2 linked regions of the Lepisosteus oculatus genome follow. The protein of the gene in region 1 purifies or fractionates together with the protein of each later gene. This does not show direct contact. Links are inferred from orthologs where the notes say so. Each region holds a gene or a part of one and is shown in the gene's direction. Other genes may lie near its edges. The genes, in order: sarcoplasmic/endoplasmic reticulum calcium ATPase 2 and pln1.

The links.
Region 2: the proteins of sarcoplasmic/endoplasmic reticulum calcium ATPase 2 (region 1) and pln1 purify together in Homo sapiens (affinity purification with western blotting; 4 studies listed by BioGRID). This does not show direct contact. The link is inferred for Lepisosteus oculatus from reciprocal best matches to the Homo sapiens genes ATP2A2 and PLN.

Annotation. Positions count from the first base shown.
Region 1 is NC_090717.1:10,110,828-10,119,120, forward strand, and holds the start of sarcoplasmic/endoplasmic reticulum calcium ATPase 2, read left to right. Parts: upstream 1-2,648; 5' UTR 2,649-3,354; coding exon 3,355-3,472; intron 3,473-4,370; coding exon 4,371-4,388; intron 4,389-4,498; coding exon 4,499-4,581; intron 4,582-8,293.
Region 2 is NC_090697.1:647,822-656,114, forward strand, and holds the start of pln1 (cardiac phospholamban), read left to right. Parts: upstream 1-4,082; 5' UTR 4,083-4,253; intron 4,254-4,441; exon of another isoform or gene 4,442-4,566; intron 4,567-8,293. UniProt on the Homo sapiens protein: Reversibly inhibits the activity of ATP2A2/SERCA2 in cardiac sarcoplasmic reticulum by decreasing the apparent affinity of the ATPase for Ca(2+).

The DNA of each region.
Region 1 (8,293 bases):
TTGTTCTCTAATTACAATCATTTGGAACACAGTCTGTGGTATTAAATAAAATTAGCCTTCATTGCTAATATCAGCTTAGTGGGGTTTTAATTGGAGTGACCCAGAGTAAATCTTCATGCAGTAAAGAGCAGTTGTGACTACATGCTGCCATGATTCTGTGTGCAGGCACTTAAAAAAAAAACCTTGCTTTCCTAAAGCACCTGCTTGGGCCTTGTCTGTCAGCCGTACTGTCATCACTAACCATGAGGTGAAAAGAAAGAACTGGGTGCTCCTGTGGGCAGCTGGGGTTTCCAGACAAATGACTTCATTAGGAGAGAGACCCTCGGGTCTCTCCTGCATGATCTAACGTCAGCCTTGTACATTGCAGCCTTCAGGGGCTCAATAATCCCAGGAGGTCCTCGTTTCATTGGAGGTAAAGGGACAGAACAGCACAATAATGTTTTATAGATCAGCCGCGGATCCATAGAGCTTTTTATGGAGAGAAAAAAAGGAGAAAGCTTTTCACACGATTTCAATCCAGACAGTCTACACTCTCCTCCACCCAGTTCATGAGTCTGTGAAAGTAACTAGTGAACCGAGCAGGAAACAAGTCCAGGTGATGAGCGTGAGCTAAGTGGAACATTCAATAAAAATAGAGCTGTGCTGAGCTGCTTCCATTTTCTAAAGCCTGCCTTTTTACATTTTTCTGCTCACTGGAAGGTTTGCCGATACCGTTCTCTGCATTCATCTGCTATTTAGCTGCACGTTCTTGGGATGCAAAAATTGTAAAAAAAAACAATTAGTAACGACCTTTTCCCTATACAGCATTCTTTATTGTGTCTCAGATGGGTCAGTTAGGACGGGACCTGCAGAGGTGTCTGTGCATTTTGGAGAGGGGGGACAGGGTTTAAGTGTACTTTCATGAGTGCAAGAGACATTTTCAAGCACTTAGAATGGAGATCTTGAAACAGCTGGTTTATCACACTTTAAAACACGTGGTGGCTCTAGTGTAGCCAGTGAAGATGTGGTAGCTGGTAACCAGCAGAGTTTGATACCGCAGTGTGCAGAAGTTGTTCAAATCGTGTGCGAAAATATACTTTGACTACTAAATCTTGCTTCTTTCAGTGATCAAGTAAAGTATGTCTAGTTGGAAACACAATAAACTTATTGAAACTGTAAAGAGTTGAGCCTCTCAGGCAGAGCTCCAGGGGGAAAAAGTGCAGGAAGACTCTCTGTCATACCCCAGGTTTCCATGGTGGGGGAGCCTTTCAAGTCTTGAGTGAGAGGCTGTGGGTTCGAGTCCCCGCTGCAGACACTGCTGTTGTAGCTTAATGAAGAACTCTACCCCCAGTTACTCCAGTCCTTCCAATTGTAGAAGTGGGGACCAGCTGGTGGGGTAACTCCCTGTCCATCCATCTGTGGCAAGGAGTGATCATCTGCTCTATTGCCTGTTCAACACTCCTGAAACTAAGAAGAGCTCTTTTATATTACAATTGCACTCCAACATCACAGGAAAAAATAACTGCTGGTCATGGGATTAATTTAGTTGCTGTAGAACAGGAAGCTGGTATAAACCTGGTGGTTTTGTGTCAGTGGGAGTGGGGGTCTAGCAGGTGAATGAGCTCTCTTTAGCATCGGGTACACTATTTCTCTCCCATTTCCCCGATCCAACAGGGTGGCACTGATCCCTGTCCAACTGAACTCCAGCGTGCAGGTGTGAAAGTCACCCACGTGAATAGGGTGTATTTGAATGGGTCTGGGGACTGCAGCGACATGAGCTGACACTGATGTAATACGATAAAAGCGTTTACTTTAGCGCGCTGTTCCAGCACATTGCATTACATTGTTCCTGCACGCCAGCAAAGGGGCAATACACGTCAGGACCGACCGCATATGACCATTTCCAGAAAAACGAGGCAAGAAGTGTAAATACCTCCTAATTACATTTCGCGAATCACAGCGCTGTCGCGTACTTTTGACCCCGGGTTTATAACTACTTGGGTATCTGGAAAACAGCTTCTCGGTAAAACCTCGCAGCCTGAGCTGTAACATAAGCAAAGAGAAGGCTGACACCCGGCGCATAACTCTAGCTGGCTGTAATAGCATGACAGCATGACATTTGCGTTCGCTAATCCCAGCAAATGACCCCCCCCCCCCACCACACACACACACACCATTCTAGGTTTGAAGGATGATAGGAGCGAAAGTCTTTAATCACCTCCAAGGCCAAAAACGGAGGCTATTCAGAGAAAAATGGCAAACAAATTAAACTCCCCTGCCAAAGCATCTGAACTCGAGCTCCGTCGTTTCCCAAAACATATTTTTTTGGGGTCAGCGGCAGCACCTTGGAATTAAAACTGGAATCGACCCCCCCCCCCAGTTCAAATACATGCACATTGTGGCGTTGCCTGTAGATCTGCGAGTGGAGACATCTTATTGTGCCCCAGGGGAAGGCAGCGTGTGTGTGGAGGAGGAGGGGGTGGGAGAGTGCACGACTTCACAAAACCAGACAAATCGCCAAAGGGTCCCCCCCCCCCTTCCCCTGCGCCGAAAAGGTTAACGCAAACGCGTCTGCGTCACCGCTCCCGGATCCGAGGGGCGGCGTGAGCCGGGCGCAGCGTGGAGATCAGCTGATCGCAGCGAGTTTCAGAAAAGAAAAAAGACGGGCCGGAGAGCGACGAGAAGAGCGCACACACACACAGCCCCACCAGATTTCCGGACTCCCTCCATCCAATGAGCGCACTCCACATGCGGAGCAGGCGAGAGGGGCAGCAGCGAGTGAGGCACTTTCAATAAAACGCGAGTGGCGCTGGACGGGCTGAGCCACTGACGAGAGAGCGGCTGTGACACGGGCAGACGCGCACCCACGGCAGCCTGAGGAGTGCACTGGCCATTGCAGCGTGTGGCACGGAGGGCGACTGTTGCAGCCGGCTCCTCTGGGAATAAAGGAGACACCTTAAGCAAAGTGGCCTGGGGAGGGGATCGGTTGTTTTTTTTTTCTCTTTTTTAAATTTTAAGCGTGACTTAAGTCGGCAAAACACGCGCATCAAAAAAAACATTTTGGACGAGAAGCTGGCGGAGGGGGGAGTCACACACACACGCATCGTTTTTCTTCGTTCTCCATAAGTGCCGGGATTTCTACATAAATTCTAGATATTATTATTTTTTTTTCTCACCCCACCGGACGTTTTCTGTATGTAAACGCCTAGTTTTAGAGTATTTTACGCCTTTTTGTTTTGTTTTTTTTTTCTTCTCCTTCCTTCGCGAAAGGGACGTGCGGCGAAATTGACACGGACTGAAAGGTGGCCGAGTCCACAAAGTGAGAGAGAGAGAGAGAAAGAAAAAAAGTGTCTTCACAAGGGGAGCATTTCCACCATGGAGAACGCGCACACAAAGACTGTGGAGGAGGTCTATAGCTATTTTAACGTCAATGAGAGCACAGGGCTGAGTTTGGATCAGGTGAAAAAGAATAAAGAAAAATGGGGACCGAACGGTAAGTGATGCCGTTTCATTTCCAGAAGTCTTTTATGTATACAAATATGTGTTGGTTTTTTTTTTTGTGTGTGTGTGTGTGGGGGGGGGGGTTAGTGGTTTATTTTTACGCAACGCAAGGCCCGTCTTATGCAGCCAGGTTATAGTACAGTAACCGGCATGCTCAAAAATGGATAGTGAAAATGGCTGACGTCATCATGTACAACCTCGTGGGTTTTTCAATCCGTTCGCCTTATCGCGGGGGAAAGAGGGAAGCTCGCCGTTAACCTTGAATGCGTGCGATAACCGACCCGGTGGGTGAGAATCGGAAGATTTCGGAGGGGAGGGGGCTGTTCTGCGGCTGTTCCCCGGTTCCAGCGGGCTGGGGGGTTGGGGGAAAAGCCGGCTCAGGGCCTCGGACTCGGCTTCCCAGCTCACGTTTCTCCCTGTCTCGTCTCAAGCCCGGTGACCTAGCGAAAGCGCAGGTGAGGTGGGGGTTGGATGCGAACAGCTCCGGCCGCCTCTCGGCTTCATCTCACCGGCGGCGCCGGGCTGGCTTGCGGGCCGCCCGTACTCACTTCGCCCCTGCGCATGACTCGGCTGAACCAGCCCTGTGCATTGCAACACCGCCGATTCCCCGTGTCCTCGGCGTGGACACCCACTTCCTCGTAGCGACGCGGAGCACGGCTCGGCACACGCCTGCCACTGCGCCCGAAGACGCTGCGGGGAGCGGGGGGTCCTCATGCACGGCCGCCCTGGGTCGTGTTTCAAATGTCAACAAAGCGCACATCTTATTAGCGTTGCTGTGTAAACGGAGATTTTGATCTTTTGTTGCCTGTGTAACTCTCTCCTCTTCCTCTCCCCCCCCCCTCCTCCCCCGGTCGCTTTCTGGTTTGTTCCTTGGAAACACGCAACCCCAGAACTGCCAGCCGAGGAAGGTAAGCAGCACCGCCGTTTTATTAATATTTTAAAACCCCCCATTTTTTTTTTTGGAGGGGCTCATTCCGTTTTATTCCACTCTGAATTTGTCTGTTTATTCTGTCCGCAGGAAAATCTTTATGGGAACTCGTTGTCGAGCAGTTCGAAGATTTATTAGTCAGAATTCTTCTACTGGCAGCTTGTATATCCTTTGTAAGTATGCGCCTCGAAGCCTTCACCCAGTATCAGTCCCTTACAATTAAAAAAAATGAGGCACAGATCACCAAACTGTCCTGGGTATTTTCCCGATGCAACCTCCCGGCATGCTGTTGAAACTTACTTTGGCTGCCTTGCAGGTGTTTGACCTGAGCAGGCAGCTCTAAATGTTTCACTGTAAATGAATTGGGCCCAGAACTGGTGGACATCTTACTTTTTATGTTGAAGCAAATGCTGGCGTGCATAATTTGCATGTATCTGAGTGCAGTTTTACTTTGATGCTCTTTGCACCTTTTCCTCCTTGTGTAGGAACTCTAGAATGAGTCGAGGAGAGTGTAGTCCTTGTCTAGCTATCACTTATTAACTGCGCATGCTTCTTCCTGACAGATATTTGGGTATTCAGTTTAACCTCAGTACCTGGTTCTCGTCGTTTGCCTAAGGTCAAAAGGTCAAGTTCAGGATGGGCTCAGGTATGAGTTGTGTAGTTTTGAGGAGTAGTCCAGGATAGGAGGCCAGTCCTTTGCAGGAATCCCCCCCCCCAGCAATGCTGGTCCCTACTTCTACAGCTGGGAGGACTGGAGCAACTGGGGTCAGATACCTCACTCAAGTTGCACCAGCAGTGACTCGAACCCGCAGCGTGTCAGTAAAGAAGAAACACACCCACTCTGCTACACTGCCCTAATCTACTAGTAATTTATTTATCACAGCCTTTTGCATGAGTCTGGAAGGATACTTACTGTGGCGATGAGGGATTTTGTCCTTTGTTGAGATTTATTCTTATTTGGAAACTTCTGTGGCAGTATAGATTTATTGCTTAAACATCAGCCGTTCCTTATGCAGTCAGAAATGCCCAAATATAGGCCTTAAAACTTTTAAGCCTAAATCTTCGCAAGTTACGTTGTCCCTGAGTGAACTTTAAAACCTTTTTCCAGTGGTATGCCTACTGTAACACTGTAAACGTAATGTCACTCTAGAGAACCTGGTGCCATTAATGTGTTAGACCAGTTTCCAGTCAAGGTATTAAGATCCTAACCTAGTTTTTTAAACCGCCCACGTCTGTGGCTGTTAATATTCAAAGTACTTGGCTGAGGTGTGAATAGGCCAGGTTAGGTATAAGCAAGGGAGTGTAGCCATCATGTTGGATGTTCAGAGATTTGATCTTCAGGTATGACAGCTGAGCTAGTAGTGTTAAATAAGTCCTCTGTGTTAAAAAAAACTTACCAGGAAATACTTTCTTGGCTTAATGGACTTGACAAATCTCCTGATGATGCTTGTATTGTAATACAAGTGGTCACTTCAAAATGTGAGGTTAATGTAGGTTTGCTTAGTTGGCCGAAAAATGAAAATTGCGCCCTTGTTTATTGGCGTGGGGCGGAGTCAGTGGTTTATATTCAGGGATGGGCCGTCGTCGGCTGGTTTCTCTGTTTTGCGTCAATACTATTCCCACCTGCCGCCTTCATTCGTTTGTCAGTTTACTGAGGATACGTGTCATTTTAATTGTGAACGAATATAGTGACTGAACTTCACAGAGCATGGGTCCTGGGCCTGGGCAGTGCTGGGGTGGGACCCCTGAGCGGCAGGTGTTGAGTGGACCAGGTGGTGGTGCTCTTCCATCTGGACCACAGCCTTCAAACTGGCGCACCAGGATGGTGACTGGGGACACTGATGGAGGGGTGTGATGCTCTGGCATGAAAGCCTCTTTGCAGATGTAAGGAGTTAGAAGTGAGTCATCCCATCACAAGGCCAGGAGCCCGAACACTAATTTGGTTTCCCTGTGCAAGGAGGCTGTCAGAGTGGGCTTGTCGAACGAACTGGCGTCTAGCAGCAAATGTTTGCCTTTGCTACACTTGTACTGTCGGGTGTTGGCAAACGGCATTGATAAATCAGGAAGGCTAAAAATAATGGCCATACCAAGGAAGCCGGTGTTTCAGTGCCGGCGGCGAGGAGATGAGCAGAGCCTTCCGAGAACATGGGCGCGGGCGTGTGTGCCCTGTTTGAGGCTGCTCTTGCAGATCCGACGGTTGACACCGCTGGGAAGAAGCCACGCTTCCGGGGAATGGCGACGACAGCGGGGAACGAGGATCAGGTTACCGGGGGCTGACATGAAGTGCAGGGGGCTGGCTGTACTGCCTATTGGCTCGCGTTCATCTGCTGTGCTCTCAGTGCACTTGTGACGAGATCTCGCATTTTGTTGTAATTGCCTGGGGGTGGGGCCAGTTTCACCCAGGCCATGCTGTAATTCCCCCTGAACTGATGACAAGTCTAATGCAGGATGGGCTCACCGGAATGGGGTTTTAGTTGGCACATGCTGAGCCAGACATAGAAGCAACAATGTACTTGGCTTATTACATTATGTCTAACTGCACGTTTTTGTACGGATCTCGAATGTAAAAGGTGATACCTGTATAAGCAGAACCTGCGGTATTGTCTTGTATTAATGGTTAGGTGTTTGTTGTGTAATATTAGACTATCCAAGTGTTTCAGGTTCAGTCAGCCTAATTATTGGATCCAAGGATTAATAATTGGAAGAATAGCATGAAGATGTGAAAAACTACGTCAGTGGTGGTCTGTAAGACTGAAATGAAGGCATGCCTGAGTAACCTTGTTCTGTCCTTCGCTCTACTGGAAGAAAATAACTAATTACATCCTAGAAGCAAAATAGGCTCTGGCAGAGAGAGACGTGCATCGATATATGAGAAGACGTATCGCGTTTCTAGACAAAAAAGACGAAGGCCAGGATTGTTACCAAGTCGTGCAGTTGTAGAAATGTGGTGCCACATTGTGCTCTACTTCTTGTGTGGTTTTGGCATGGTACAAAGGACTGGATTGGCATTTACCTTCCTAATAAATAAAGGTCAGATGCTAATCGTGCAGGGCTCATTGCATAAAGCATAGATTACAGGGCATCGCCATGAGAAACGTCTGACGCAGTTCGCATGACTGGCCCCGTGACAGCCCGTCGATGTACGGTACATCTTGAGTGGTAGGTTTTGTACTCGGTTATCGTTGAGATCCTCTTAAAGCTTTCCTCCGCAGAGGGATGGTGTGGGAGCCGGGCCTGTCCTGTTGCGTAAAAGAGGGATCTTTGGCCACTGTTGGAAAATGGCATTCCAGTTGTCTGGCATGCCCTCTCCTGCGATAGCGAGGTGGCAGTTGCTGCTCCTGACAGCTCTCTGAGTGATGTGGGGGGAGGAGGTGAGAGGGGGCACGCAGGTTGACCAAATTTGGGCACTGACCTTGGAAGGGAAGCGGAGCCACTCAGTGTTGGCCACTTCGTCTGCACTTGATGATTTACCGAATCGGCGGGAGTTGAACAGAACGCAGCCGCGTTTAGGCCCCAGTCCAAAACAAAATCCTATAGCGGCTTACAGGCGGGCATTGTGGGGCGTCTCGGTCTTGACTTCGTGGTGCGACACGGCCCCAGAAACAAGTTGAGTATAAGATGTTCTCTGGGTCGTCCTGGCTCTTGCTGGGAAGGAGTGGCACGGTGATGATGGAAGATGGTGTTCAAGACAACAAAACCGAGTGGCAGAGAGAAGAAAGAGTTTCTGAACTCTTATTCATCTGTGGAAACGTTGCCTTTCGTAGTTGTAATACCAGTTATGTATGTGTACTGACTGTATGGATATGCATTGCCCTAGACTTCTCAGTTGGAAAATGGTTCATTTTTTATATGTACAGTTAATTATGAAGTCGCCCTTTTTTTTTG
Region 2 (8,293 bases), on another chromosome or scaffold:
CATGGCTCTTACCATGTCACATAACACAGCTAATCTCCTTGCATTTCCTAGAATGTTATCTCTGTCTACTCTTCTACTACTATCCTCCAGACACCTGCTTTTCAGCACACAGTTCCTGTTTCAGGCAGACAAGCTGCCAATAAGTCGATTTCTCACACATCATACTCAGAACAGTTTGGTAGAAGAATCAAAGAAGTACTCAAACATAAGATGTAACATTAGCTGCTCATAATATAATGTAAGGATATGTATAAATGTATACAAATTTATATACAATACAATTATATACAATGTATATAAATGTGTATAAATGTAAGGATATGTTTATATACTCGTCTTGTATATGTATTATATATATATACTGTGTGTCTTGTATTATATATTTCAGTTATACAAGATCAAGATCAACAGAAAATTTAGCTAAAGCATGAAGGAATCAGCCATGATTCACCAAAATGGCCATGTGGAATTGTAAATGCTATGATACACACTTTTTTTATATCTGTGGATTTTCTGTTTTTTTTTGTTGCTGTATAATGTCTCGGTGTTATAATCAGAAGAGTGTTAAATTGCTAAGATTTCTTTACCAGAACTCCTGAAATATTTATAGGGATTTACATTTTCCCCACTGTTTCCTCTTAAAGCTAAAACCTCGGATTTATTCTGTATCCAAAGTTACACCTTCAAAGGATCGATATAATCAGATATCACAAATGTTAGAAGTCCAGGTCACATTTCCTATCAGAACAACTTTTCTTGGAATGGAACCAGGAAGAAGGGAATCCTGAAGAGCCTGCTGCAGTACGGGCTTTTTCAGCCATCAGGATGAAAGCAATTCCCACAGTAGGCCCTATCTTAACTACATAAATACCAACGAGAACAAGAGCAAGCACAGACTGAGCTCAGCTGCCACTCTCTCATTATCAGATTGGAACATAAAACAGACTTCGTGCACAGCTCTGCCTTGTCCCTGAAAACAGCAGAAGAGCCACAAATAACCAGGGACCTGGGTACAGAAGACACAGCAGGTGTTAGGATGACTGGTGCACAGCACTAATCTCAATAATTTAGTCAAACACAGGCGCATTATACCCAGGGGCTGAAGATGCATCTCCTTTGCCTTACTACACACACCAGAGCAACCAACTATTTCTTCCTGTTTCTTTCCTCACATACCATGCTTTGAGCTGTCGAATGCTATTATTGCAAAGAGGAAATTAATTCCAATGGAAAACACTGCAGAGCTAGATTAACTGATGTCTACAAAAGATGAGACAAGATTATTGCTATTTTAACAAGCCTCCTTGCAGCCTCAGATCCTGGCTGAAAACTGAAGTTGGTAAAAGCAGTTGTATGGAAAGAAATGAATTCTGAGTGATTACATCCTAAAGGTAAAGACATGGGTAGCACCCCTCGTTCAGCTGTGAAAACAATTTTTTCTTTTATTTAATACTGAAATTACCCATCAGTTAGCCTGAAATTAGGTCTAACCAGTTTTAATAACGGCTTGCAGTTACAGCAGAGCAGTGTGAATCACAGAACATTACAATAAACAAAGCTATGTAAACCAAGCTCCAGACCTATTGTAATTACAATCCACTAAATCCAGAGATGTTACAATATATTAAATACAATTTTAATTACATACAGTATCTTTAATGTTTTACCGCTATTCAAACAACTGCTTGCATCTCCCTTGCTTAAGCCTACTGCCCATCTTAAAAACCTTTGGAACAGCTGTTTTTAACCCACTTTATTAATTAGCTGTGACAGGTGTATACTGCATATGCGTGTTTATTTGGTATTAGTTTTATTATTGTTTCCCTGGGAATAAACAGAACGTATGGCTTAACGAACACCTAACACCATGTTGCAAAATATCATTTCATCCAGCTGGCGGGTTCTCTCTCTCGTCCTGAGCTGAGTCAGCTGAGCGAGGGAGACTGAGGACTCTAAAGAGCATCCAGTGATGATTTAAAAGCTATACAATACAAGATCGCCTTAGCCGTGCACCTTCATTACAGTAATAGCAGTGGTAAAACAACTCATTATTCACCATTTGTCACTTAAACGTCTAAAATAACACCAGGGCAAAGTCAGAACATCATTAACATGTCTGAATGGCACAATAAGAAACACTCTTAAGGCTTTTTTTTTTAACGGTAAGTAAGGTACAGTAAAAACAAGTCAAACCTCCTTCTAGTATAAGTACTTGTTTAGCATTAACTGTAAGTCTTTTTTTTTGCAAAGCAAAAGGTCCTTTTCACACTTTAATTGAAAACAAATACAAACATCATGCTTAGAAAACATAAAAATAAGGGGCAATAAGGGTTTTGTAGAATGAATGAGTATTGTTCAGTGGAGGTGCTTCAGGAGTTAGAGCAGCTCACTTGTCAAGACTCGTAATGTACCAGCTCTCAGTCGAAGGGGGGACTGTAAGACAACGCTCTAGGACTTAATGTGTGCAACTCGGATTACGCATTGCATTAAATTGTCACCTTCTCATTCATTGTAGCTCGAACATTATGCAACTGGTCTTCCATTATAAAGACGGCAAAAAGAATTCCTCTCATGTGTGTTAGCATAGCTGGGACAATGCGAAAGACCACTGCCTGCCAACAACAGCAGTGCTCTAGCCAGAGAAAACAGAGTAGTTTATCCTCCTGTTATGTACCCATGTTTGAGTTCTGCCCTTCTACTCCAAGTGCGTCGAGCAAGTCATTCTAAAAATGTGATTTTGGAACTTGTTTTGACTTAAGAGAGGCCAGCTAAACTCCATCTAAGGAAGTGTAAGCTGGAATAGCAAACTCCTTTTGCTTAAGAGCTTTGTGACTGAAAATCTCTAGAGGTTTGTTGGCACCATGTTTGCATATGTACACTGATTTACAAGAAAGGGGAAACACAGAGAGGGAGGCCTTTTACTTTACCAACCCACTGGAATACTGAAGTCGACACAAGCAGGTCAACACCAATCTCCTATGTGCTCTAGTCTAACATTTAGAATAACAAAGACTCAGGGCCGATAGTGACACGTCAGAGCTAGTTGTTTACAAAGATTGACAACTAATACAGAGGCTTCAGAAATATTAAAACATGTTTTCAAAAGTGAAGAATGGCTATAATACTGTACATCCATAGTCAAATACAAAGATATGAGATATTCTATGATTTATGCAAAATACTTTTTAGGATGATATTTTTACATTCTATGTAACTAGATTTTTGGCAGGCAGGACTCCCTGACGTTAGACAGTTCATATCAGTAACATCACTGTGTATCAGAAAGAACTGCTGCCGAACACAAACATTAGTGACAAGTTATAGTTGTCTTAGTGCTAACCCTTTAAAAGTTTTTATAATCCTAAAAATATTTTGAAAATGCTTTATCAGCAGCATATAACTGAAACGTATTGCTTTAAACACAGACAGATATGCTTAATTAATTTAGCTCTTGGTTACATCCCCAAGAAATTGATTTAAGGCAAAAACCTAAATTCCGTGAAAGGGAGATTATACATCTCCAGGACAGGCTGTTGAACCCCTTTTGCTTACGTTTCCAAAAACTCACGAACTCAAGCACAGATTAATATTATAAATGTTAGAAAAAACAGATCAAGTTGTTAGCTTCTGAAAAAACTTTTCTGGAGAAGATAATTTTATTTTGGAACTCAGGCATTTAAATGATTGACTTTATTGTAAATAATAACAAGTGAAATCAAGATACTGCATTGAATGTACTTAAGTTATACTTTTTCAAAACAGGTGGACAGAAGCCCTGAGGTGCTTTTCTCACAGAAAGCAGTAGAACAACTTATTTGATCTCATGGCAACATCTGAACTTCTTTGTCAGAGCTAACCCTAGCAGTAGTAGCAATCATACCAAATGAAATGCAAATGGTTGAGTACGCACTGATCCTGTTCCAAAGGAAAATAGCACCAGACTCTTAAAATGAGGTATGTATGGCAACAGCAAACAGGTCGTGAGAGAAAGAGTCCCTCTGTGATCACCTGGAGCCAGAGCTGGCTGCCAGCTCTGACAGACTGTGTCCAATCCGTGTTGCCAGGGGGCTGGATAAACAGCAAAACCCCTCCTTTACTCGGGGCGCTGCTCTCCCCCGCCTCCTGGTTCTGTTCCCATAAACTCTGTGACATAGTCAGACAAGCAGCCAGAGAACCTCTGGGTCTGTTGGACCAGGGCGCTTTCCCACAGTCCGCTGAGCTGTGTGTCCGCGATCGGTCGGCCAGAGCAGGAGGTAAGACAAGCCATCCTCCTCACACCACACGTACTGCCTGCCAGGGCTTGTGGCCCCACAGTCCCTCCGGCTGAGAGACGGAAATGCAGGACAGAGCAGGGAATACCTCTGGAGACACAAGAGGCTTACACTGAAAAATCAAGGTCTTAATAACTGAAGTCATATAACCTCTCCTTATTCATTTGTAGAACCACACACACTGGACGTTGGGCCAGCAACCACTTACTGGAACAATTAGAGGTCAGTGGTGATGGATAACCGATGCTGGTGAAGCTCACTGTTACATTTTATATTCATCAAGACTCTCTAGATTGTGAGTGATCTCCTTCGATAAAATTACCTAGTTGTTCAGAACAAAACATTTCTGTAAAAGATCATGGATTTTGCTAAAAATGTTAAACGTATTGTTAGGAGATCTACAGGTAGACAAATGGCTGCAATTACACTAATCAGATTTCCATTTACCATCACATACCTTTCATATGATGTAACAAAGCAAATGCTTTTAAATGGATTTGTCCAAAAATAGCAATTCCCCTGTCAACGAGATATATTTTAATACATTATATGGACTTTGTATTTAATGAGCTGGAAAACCTTTTTTATTATTCAAACTAGAGCTTTGTGAATCACAGTTCATCCAAGATAGGCTTTCCAAATCTTTGTCTCTTCAAGGAATTAACAAAAACCGATGCTCCTTAATTATCACCGAAAAACGTGGAGTCAAACCAGTCTGAATATGAACTGCAGCTACAAATATTTATATTAAGAGTAAGCATGGCATTTAAACTGAAGGCTATGAAACTGTAAAGGGGATCATGAAATGTTTAAGGCTAACCATGAGAATATACAAAAGGAACAACCTTTAGAGAACTGGGTTTTAATTTTCTATCCGAAAACTATACGAACAGAATGTTTATTCTTGCGTGCTTTAACTTTACAACATTAATGCATTATAGTTTATATAACAAACCATACGTGTTTCACATTTTATTTACAAAATATATTTATTTTATTTTTTATTACTTTCATGATATAAAAGAACAGACTTACTGACCCATTTAAAATAGACATTCATTCATTCAGACAACATTGTAACGACAGCTAATTTCAATAAAGTCTGTAACAAAACAGAACTCCTAAAAAGAATAGCGATAAAAAATAGTGCCGATAATATGTTGCAAATAAGAAGTTGTGAAAAATTTCTGAGGCTGTTGCCTCCCATATGTAACTGCAGCCTCATGCATTAAATAAAGATCCACAGAGAAAACTATTTTGCAGAAAGCAAATCTGAAAACCCACACCATTGTACTAGTCCTGTTACAGTTCAATATGAAAGTATCTGTATTTGCATCAAAGACACAGTGGTCTCTCTTGAATTTGCATTTATGCAGATGTCTGTATTTCAGACAAAAGATCCCTTCAAGCAAGCAAAGGTTAAAGATGCACTGCTGTGAAAGCTACAGTATGTTCCTCTGCAATTGTCCTTTATACACAGCAGTACATTTGGAAAATTATGTTACCCAGAAAACTGCGCTGGCCCTTTTATGTATGAAACTAAAGACTGGAATGATGCGACATGCAATAGGGAACAGATAACATCTAAAGAAACTCTATTTTGAACAAAAACTTGATTAACAAAGGTTTCAAAGCGAATGCCAATAAAAAAGCCATGTCACTATTGCTGGCATTGCCAGGTCTTTTTATTTCTTTTGGCTTCACCGTCATCAGGAGTCCTGCAGCGTGATCTCCTTTGAGAGGGGGAGATAATTCCCTAGCAGGTCACACTCTAAAGATAAAGGACAGTCAGTTCAGTGCATGAAGCAGAGTGACCCTAGAGATTACTTACTAATGCAATCATGGAAACAACAGCTCACAACTGCGGCCAGCCGTACGTTACTGTCTGCCTTAAGATGACTTATTTTCATGGGATATCAGCCAAAAAAGGTCTTTCTTCATTTTGTTTATGAATTTACATTCGGTTTTAGAAGATTTCCTTCTTAGGTTATGCTGGAAATGTTGGTTGTTGGTTCTGTGTCTAGTCTTTGATGAACCTAAAAGTAAAGTGCTACTATTTCAAGGGAACCAATCCTTGAAAACATATTCAGCATTATTTAAGGATTATTACAAACACCTGATCATCACAGGTACTTGTTGCTAATCCTGTAAAAATATTTTACATGAAAAAATTCAGAATTTCTAACTTTTTAAAATTGTAGAAAATATTATAGCCAGTAACGCCTGGCACTGAGAATATTATGTAAGCCTAAACAGCATTCTGTCAGTGAATTTTTGTTTAACCTGCACTTAGTGCTTTGAGTTGACAAGTTTAACATGAATTTTATACTGTTATATTAGCAGTTATAAATTGGCTTTTAAGGACTGTACACGTTCTTAATTTAAAATTCACATGTATATGAGGCATTTTGTCATTTTAAACTAGTTATTAAGAGACAAATATGGTTCTGTAGTAAGGCACATTATCAAAAAGATTAGATTTATTTAACTTACTGAGAGTGGTGGTCACAAACCGCTTAAATTACAACTGTATGAGAAGCCTTCCTGCTGACTGATTGGAAATTCTCGGTCTTGCTTGTCGATGCCTTCCCTGCTTTTCAAAGTCAGACCGAGTTCTGAAGCCCAAGTTGCTCAAAGCTCTTAACAACGTCAAGGATATAATGTCCACAACAACACTGTTTTGATACTGTCGGCACAACCTTACAAACAAGCCGCCTCATGAGTTATCTAACTTACAGCATTCAGGTTATGGTTGTTCAGTCTGAATCCATCACTACAAATGTTTATCGGGTTTGTCAAGTGATTGGTTCAAATAGAAACTAACATTTATTTACTATGCATGTGGGGCAGCTGGTTGTCATAATATATAGAAAATGAGACTGATAACTGCACATATTTCTTAAATTAATTAATTAATACAATGGTAGAGCACTATTTTCCCTTTAGACTCCGGTATACAGTACTGTTGTATCATCTATCCAGTAGTTCGTTAGATCAGCAGTGCATGAGACTATATTCTTTATCTTTGTTTCAATATATGATTATGCTGATTTGTTTGGACTGCAGATCTCAAGCAAAAATATTTCTGTAAGGGAAAATTAAAGTCTCTGTATTTGCCCATTTATAAAGTAAATATTACCAAGTTGCTGCCCAAAAACAAATGTACACCAAGATCTCACATAAGCCTACAATGATCTTTTTCAGAAAGGCAGATTAATATGGAAAAATATCCCTTCTGCGATTCTGAAATTATATATGAATTTGGAAAACAGACTTATCCTTCAATAAATATTTTTACTGCAAACTATAGAAATGATCCCTGAAAGTAATGTGTCACTTCATGAAATCAGTCTGTTTCAAACTGAAATGTTCACAACATACTATTTTTACACTGCAAAACCTTTTTTGTACTTTTGTCTGTACTTTAAAACATTTTCTACGGGTCCTTTTTGTAATAAATAACTTTCAGTAGAATTAGAAATCTACTAAAAATCTAAAAGCTATTCTTTGAGACTTTTAACTACAAACCTACCTGTTACACCCTCATTACGTTGAGTATTTTTATTAAAGTACCGTGTCACTTTTGGGGTTAGAAAGAAATGGCATTTATGAGTGCATTTCAAACCACAATAAGATGCACACAGTAACAAGTAGACCCATCACAAAACACCGCGATTCAGAATGAGGCAACCAAATTTCCACTGAGGTGAACCAGCCCTATTATATTGTAAACAAGCAGGCCTGTGAATACATCTCTTTTAATACAAAAGAAATATTGCTCTTGACATAGAGATGGTTTTGTCAACAAATACTACTCACTTGTTAACTGTGCATGTAGATCACATTGGAACATTTCTTCATTCCTTGTGTGCTGCACAACCTGTACTTATTTGCTTTTACATCACAGTACATTAGTCCTTACAGTGACTAGTGAGCAGAAAGGGCCACTTCACTTCGCAATTTGCGCAAACTCGCCCAGGGGTTTGAGACAATATACAGTACTGTCACAAAGATCACTGTTT